Rattus norvegicus: one gene and its partner. The protein of the gene in region 1 binds, or shares a complex with, the protein of each later gene. Links are inferred from orthologs where the notes say so. Each region holds a gene or a part of one and is shown on either strand. Other genes may lie near its edges.

Evidence for each region.
Region 2: Ppp4r3b (region 1) and Ppp4c share a complex: the UniProt entries of both Homo sapiens proteins name them as parts of the PP4 complex. The link is inferred for Rattus norvegicus from reciprocal best matches to the Homo sapiens genes PPP4R3B and PPP4C.

The regions. Positions count from the first base shown.
Region 1 is NC_086032.1:107,116,648-107,121,045, forward strand, and holds the start of Ppp4r3b (serine/threonine-protein phosphatase 4 regulatory subunit 3B), read left to right. Parts: upstream 1-1,485; 5' UTR 1,486-1,832; coding exon 1,833-1,974; intron 1,975-3,061; coding exon 3,062-3,117; intron 3,118-4,398. UniProt on the Homo sapiens protein: Regulatory subunit of serine/threonine-protein phosphatase 4 (PP4). May regulate the activity of PPP4C at centrosomal microtubule organizing centers.
Region 2 is NC_086019.1:190,825,086-190,827,557, forward strand, and holds part of Ppp4c (serine/threonine-protein phosphatase 4 catalytic subunit), read right to left. Parts: intron 1,646-2,472; exon of another isoform or gene 1,587-1,645; coding exon 1,535-1,586; intron 1,003-1,534; coding exon 952-1,002; intron 786-951; coding exon 684-785; intron 164-683; coding exon 1-163. UniProt on the Homo sapiens protein: Protein phosphatase that is involved in many processes such as microtubule organization at centrosomes, maturation of spliceosomal snRNPs, apoptosis, DNA repair, tumor necrosis factor (TNF)-alpha signaling, activation of c-Jun N-terminal kinase MAPK8, regulation of histone acetylation, DNA damage checkpoint signaling, NF-kappa-B activation and cell migration.

The DNA of each region.
Region 1 (4,398 bases):
CTCCACAGAGAATGCTCTAGGCATCTGAAACTTCTGTCCTAAAGGCTAAGTGGGCTTCCAGGATCTGTCCAGTGCTCTAGCTAAAGTTCTTTTCTCCTTTAAGGTGGACATTGAAAAGGATGCTTAGAAATAATCCTTGGATTGTCCTCTAACATTGGACTAAAACACAGTGGAAAGCTTTCTATGACCTTTCCAAAACAAATTATATTTTCCCCAGCTCAAAGTAATTTTGTCCATATCAATCACAGAATATCAGGGATTTATGTATAGTGATTCAAGTCCTTTTATCATAGGCAGAATCCCGATACATACCATAGGCTGGCCTGGTCCTCAAAGAGATGCTCCTGTCTGTTTTTCTATGTGCAGTCTTTACAGATGAATGGCTGCAGACCAGGCTAATTTTCTTGATCCTTTATACTTTCTTGATCCTTTATACATTTTTGAAAAAGCAAAGATAGATCAAAATTTGAAATCGTTTTTAATCAAGCGACTAGGTGCATAAGACACCCCTTTAAACGTATGGTGATGAGTTCACGCCTAACTAATCTCGCCAAAACATAAACACACTTTGACAACCATAAAGATGACTACAACTCCCAAAATACACCGCGGGACCAACGTGTGTACCTTCCCCATGTTCATCTTTCAAGTGGTTGAGCTGAGGGACCAAATAAGAGAACGGAGAGGCAGCTGAACTACACTGGGAGCCACGGCCTTCGGGCGAGCGACGTTAACTGAACGCCAGGAACCCTTCGTTCTTGCGGCACACGAGGACTGTGAGGCTGCCCGCCTGCGCTTGCCTCGTCGCTGCGGCCGGTTTCTCTCCGAGCCTTTTAATGGTCCGTGCTAAGAGGCTAACGGAAGAACGCTTTGGCGGGAAATAAGAACTGTCAACGCGTTTGTGGAACATTAAGATCGCCCACTGCTCACCGTGGCCATGGAACACTTTCCCGGATGAAGTCTCGCAGATTCTATAACGGATTTTAATGGGTGAGGGGCTCGACTTCACATAAGACTCAAACACCCTCAACCCCCGCCCCCAGCCCTTTTCGGGCTGACAGAATGAGTCCCTACACTTGGCTTCGCCCTAGACCTGTCCACGCATTCGGACTTCCCAGCCTGGCTCTGGTCAGTTGACAGCAAGTCCAGAGTTGACAACCCGCCATTCAACATCCGCCCTACAAATCCGGAAAACAGTTCAGCAACAAACACCACTGCTCCATCAACCTTCTACAGACAATTTCTCGCGGAGCAGGGAGGAAAGCTCGCGAGACTTCCCCGCCCAACAGAGATTCCCGAGCCAGGAGGCGGGGCCGAAAGAGGAGGAAGTCCCTCCTAGGCCGGCTCACCTCGGCGCCGCACTCCTCGCGAGATCGCTGAGGTCTGACTCTCCGGAAGCGTGTTTGGCCGTAGGTACTATGCATTGGACTAATCGGCCGCCGTAGCCCCTGCTAGGACAGCCCGTGCGAACCTGCTGGAAGAGGAAGAGAAAGGCAGAGAGAGTCGGGTTACAAGATGGCGGATCTGTAGTAGTAACCGCGGCGGGCGGCGGCAGCGGGAGAGCGAGCGAGCTCTGGGGAGCAAAGGGAAGGGAAGGTGATTGTGCGCCGGGGTAAAGGGAGGGGTAGCGGAGACCACGAGCGGAGGGTTCTCGGTGGCTCTGGCCACCCCTTCTCGCGGCTAAACCTTTGGAGCCATGGTAAACTCAGGCCTCTCCGGAGTCGCTGCCACCACCGCCGACGCCGCTACCGCCACTACCGGGTCTCAAGAGTGAGGGGTACCGGCGAGGTGAGCGAGGAGGTGGCGGCTGGAGCAGTGGGCCAGTAGCCACTATGTCGGATACACGGCGGCGAGTGAAGGTCTATACCCTGAACGAAGACCGGCAATGGGACGACCGAGGCACCGGGCACGTCTCCTCCACTTACGTAGAGGAGCTCAAAGGGATGTCGCTGCTGGTTCGAGCAGAGTCCGACGGTAAGGTTATTGGAACGGTGGGATGGGGACCAGTGCATCGGTTGCGACACAACCTGAGGTTTAAGCTCTGGGACTCCAGTATTCTGACTAGCACCACTAGGGACAGCACATTGGTCTTGAGCCTGCCCTTCCTTACGATAAAAACAAACTACTGGGCCTGGATTTACTCTCCGTCAGACGTGGACTCGAGGTTCCCCGCCTCTCTCCCTGTTAAGGATTTGACTCCTTTCCCCTCCAATCCCCGCTCGGTTGTTGAAATTTAGAATGTGATGAGTGAGGAGTCAGTAGAAGACCACATAGTAGAAGACCAGATAGGAATCTCGCCCATGAGATCTGACACGGATCCCCGACCCGCTTTAGGTACAGTCTTGCCGGTTGAATGTGTCTACTATAAAAGGTTTAGTGAAACTTTTCTGAGTGCCTCAAAAACAGGTTTCAGTTGTTCCAATCGACAGGTGCTGGGGAAAACTAAAACGGACTTTTTCTTGAAGTTAGACTATTGCCACGAAACACACAGGCACATACATCTTTATTTTCTGATCTCTCCAAGGCTGCCATTGTAGGGAGTGAAAAAGCGGGTTCCACAATCTCAGCAAGTTAGAATACTAAAGCAGACTGTAAAGTTGTATTTGCTGATTGCAGAATTCATAGAAACCATTTTAATATTATTAAAGCTGACAGACATAATAAAGTGGCTACTACTACCTGTACTCAAGAGCTGCTCAGTTGGAGCAACTAATACATGCAGGTAATATAAGAATAACAATGTTAGATTTATTTTTGGCAAATCTTAAACTAGTGCAGAGTCCCTTTTAGTAGACAGCAAGTCCAGAGTTCTTTCTACATTATGTGGGGGGGTTGTTCATTGTCAAAGGAAAAGGATAAGTATAATTTGTATGGTAAGTCTCTCCAAGGCCCTTGTAATTTGTTTTGTTAGACAGGAAACAGCTTTTGTTAAAGTTAGTCTTGAATAAACCAAAATACATTTGTATTCAGATGTTCAGTCAAGGAGACATGGAACGTTTATTAGTTGTGTGCTGTTGAAGGTTTTATAATTTGAGTCTTTTTTTTTTTTTAACTCTTTCAGGATCTCTACTCTTGGAGTCAAAGATAAATCCAAACACTGCATATCAGAAGCAGCAGGCAAGTAGTTGTTTATCTGTAATTTGAAAGACTTCATCTGTGATCCAGGATGTATTTATATGACAAAGATGGGGATACTTTCCAGACAAGAAAAAAAGTTTGGTAACTAAAATTAGGTACCGTATGTATTTTCCTTTCAGTTTGAGAGTCTCAAGCTGAAAAGTAGTTTTTTATATTGGTGATTTAATGTTGTTTGTTAATTGAGCCATTGTTTGTATTGCAATGTGATGTATTTTGGTCTTTAAAGTAAGCCAGGTCTCTCCATATACTCTACACTAAACCTTTCGTTCTGAGTCCCATTTGTAAGAAATGACTTAAAAGAAGATTAAGAGTGTTCAGTTTCTACTATTAAGAAAAAAATTCAAAGAGATTCTTTTAAAACAAAGGAGAGCCTGTTTGTGGTGTAAAGTTGGATCCTTTGACCAAGGAGAAGGATTTTTTTTTAAGTAATGTTTAAGTTCTGCTTTTAATTATATGCATATTTTAACATAATAAATGGGTACTTTAAAATATACATATTGGTATTCATGAAACATTTCTGGTTAATATTGTCACTTTGGAAAAGAAAATCTGTTTTAGTATTTCTAATTAGTTAGCATAAATCATCCTTTCTTATCTGTGAATGTTTTCATTTTTATTATGAAATACTATCAATATTAAATAGTATAGAGGATAATATAATGGACTCCATTATAACACCATCAGATTTAACAACATTAACGTATTTTCAACCTTTTGTAATGTTTAACATGGATAGAGGTAAAATCCTTTGTATCTGTCCCATTGTGTCTATTCTCTTCTCTCCCTATGGTAACCTGATCCTGAAATTGCTGTGTATTCTGTATACATGCTTTTATACCTTTCTTGCATATGTATGTATCCATAAATAATATGTAGTCTTTTGTGTGCTTTTAAACTTTACACTATTGATACCATACTTTACATGTATTAGAAATTTGCATTTTCACACTTCTTTTAAGATTTATTTATGTTAATTAGGGAGGTTTTTAATGCTGTATTGTATTCTGATATATGATATACAACTGGGAGTCATTTGGTTTATTTTGTGTGTGGGTGTGGTGTGATATGTGTATGTAAATAAAGTCACAATGACAGGCTTTGGAAGGGAAAGACATTATTTTAGGTTTATACTTATTTATAGCATCAAGTCTACCTTTTTTCAAGGTCCATGAGAATTTGGATGCTATAAACACTTCACAGAAGAAATAAAATTACATCTTTTGTAAAGCTTATTAATAGTAAAAATATTAATGTAAATTG
Region 2 (2,472 bases), on another chromosome or scaffold:
TGATGGCAGACAGGCTGAGGTAGTCAAAGATCTCAGTACAGTAGCGCCATACAGTCACTGAACCATATTTCCGTAAGCACTCATCATAGAACCCATAGACCTGGGTAATCTGGCGACTCTCATGATTGCCCCGGATCAAAGTGATTCGGTCAGGATATCGAACCTAGGGGGAGCATCAAGCCAAGGTTGGGTCTAGTCTGTTTCCCACTTAATCCCTCCCAAGTGTCCACTCATCTACCAGCCTCATTCAGCCCTCACCAGGATCTGTGTGGCCCAGACTCCTGCAGTCTCTTACATAAATCGAGACATCCCTGCCTCACAGGCTCTTGGGGACTTTTTCTAGAGATGCATTAAAAGACTAATGATTCCTCTCATCTGCCGGACTCAGACTCCATCCTTAGCACCCCATCCCCACCCCGCTGTGGCCCCTCACCAATGAATTCTCCCAGTTTACTCGGTTTCTGCTGCTTCCTGAACACACAGCCTGTCTACTTCCCAGAACTCACATCACCAGCCTCGTCCTCAAGGGCTCAGGAGACGGCCCCACTCATGACAGCAGTCTGACCAGCCCCGCTAAGCACACAGTCCACAGCCACAGCAAAGTTCCAAGGAGGTGACAGGAAAGGTGATGAGGGCAGCAAGTAGTGGCCAAGGCTCAGGTTCCAGGGGCCAAGGGTCCTCACCTTAAGAGCCAGCAGGAGGAGGAAGGTTTCAACACTGTAGAAACCACGGTCCACAAAGTCTCCCATGAAGAGGTAGTTGGTCTCAGGGACATCGCCACCTACCTGGGAGGAGGGATATGGCTCTGCTTGGCCCCAAACTATCTCCTCCCACTACAAGGCCAAAGAGCTGAGCCCCTTCAGTCACCCAAAGCCCAAGCAGCCTAAGGCCTCTCAATGATCATATCTTCTAGTCACCCCTAGTTTACAGCCCCAGTGTTCCCTAACTCACTCTGAACAGCTCCTTGAGGTCATAGAATTGTCCGTGGATGTCACCGCATACCTAGAAAAGACAAACGTGTTGTCAGAACAGACAAAGGCACAAACCCTTTGTTCCCAGAAAGCATCCTTCAAAACACCTGTTACTGTCCATGCCAGCCAAGGTTCTCTCACTCCATCTCAGGACCAAGTAAGGACCCTCCAGCCCCAGATGAACCCGTTCTGGTGTCATCCATCCATCACCCTCCCCTACTCCAGCGCAGAAGACATGTTCCCTGGGAGACTCACAGCTTCAGAAGCCTGGCTTCATCTCTGTTTGCCCACGTGCCCAGCAGAGTTATAGCACATGCTCATTGAGCCACAGACTAAATTCTTCTGCCGTGGACATGAGCATCCTACAGCATCTTTTCTTGTAGTCATGAGGCTAACCCATGGTCTCATACACAATGGGAAAGCATCCCACCACTAAGCTGCAAGTTCTGGCCACCATCTAATTCCTCCTTTGAGGCTCACCTGAAGACTGAGGAGTAGCAGAGGCCTGGGGGGGGGGGGGGGGGTTACTAGCCTCTCATCAACTTAGGACACAGAATACTCACTGTGACTGGCGAGTCCACCCTCTGCACGTTGCTCTCTTCTACCAAGATCTCTCTGGAGACAGGAGAAGACCAGGGTCACCACAGCCAGGCCAGCCCAGCCCAATTCCTGACCTTTTTTGGAGGGAGGGAGGACATGAGGTAGTCCTTGAACCTCCATGGGACAGAAGGAAGTATGCAGTGTCCCCATGATTTTGGTCAAAAAGCACTAACCTCTACCCCTCAATGCCTCAACGCCTCAACATCTGTTCATGGCTCCTTGCTGCCAACTGAACAGAGTCCAAGTTCTCAACCCCCTTCCCAAGTAAGTCCTTCCAAGCAGGCTCGGACATTTTCAGTAGAGACTCTCCCTGTGGCTCCTTCTCAAGAATACAGCACATATTCTTGAAAGGGAGGTCTCTGTCCCTCAGAACACTGAGCTCTGACCTCACTCCCTTCTCCCACACTATCCACAGTAAGGACGAGGCCTAAGGCATGATGGTCCCAGATGTACCTTCAAAGGGTTGTGCTGGTCCTTCCTTGTCAGCATTACATTTTATTTGTTTTGGAGACAGAGCCTCATTATGTATCCTTGTCTAGCCTGGATGTGTAACCCAGGCTAGTCTCAAGCTCAGGAAATTTGCCTGTCTGTCTGTCTCATGTGTACTGGGATTAAAGGATGCAGCACTGTAACCAGCATCTACAACATAAGGAATGGGCTCTGGTACAGCTTTTCTTTTTGCTACTTTGTGGGTTCTTCAAACAATGTCTTCTCTGACTGAACTCAGCACTGTCTTTTCTTTTCTTTTTTTTTTTTTTCGGAGCTGGGGACCGAACCCAGGGCCTTGCGCTCCCTAGGCAAGGGCTTTACCGCTGAGCTAAATCCCCAACACCAGCACTGTCTTTTCTAACCCTACCCCTATGATGATTTCCCCCAAAGACCTCCTTCAAGAATAGCGTCA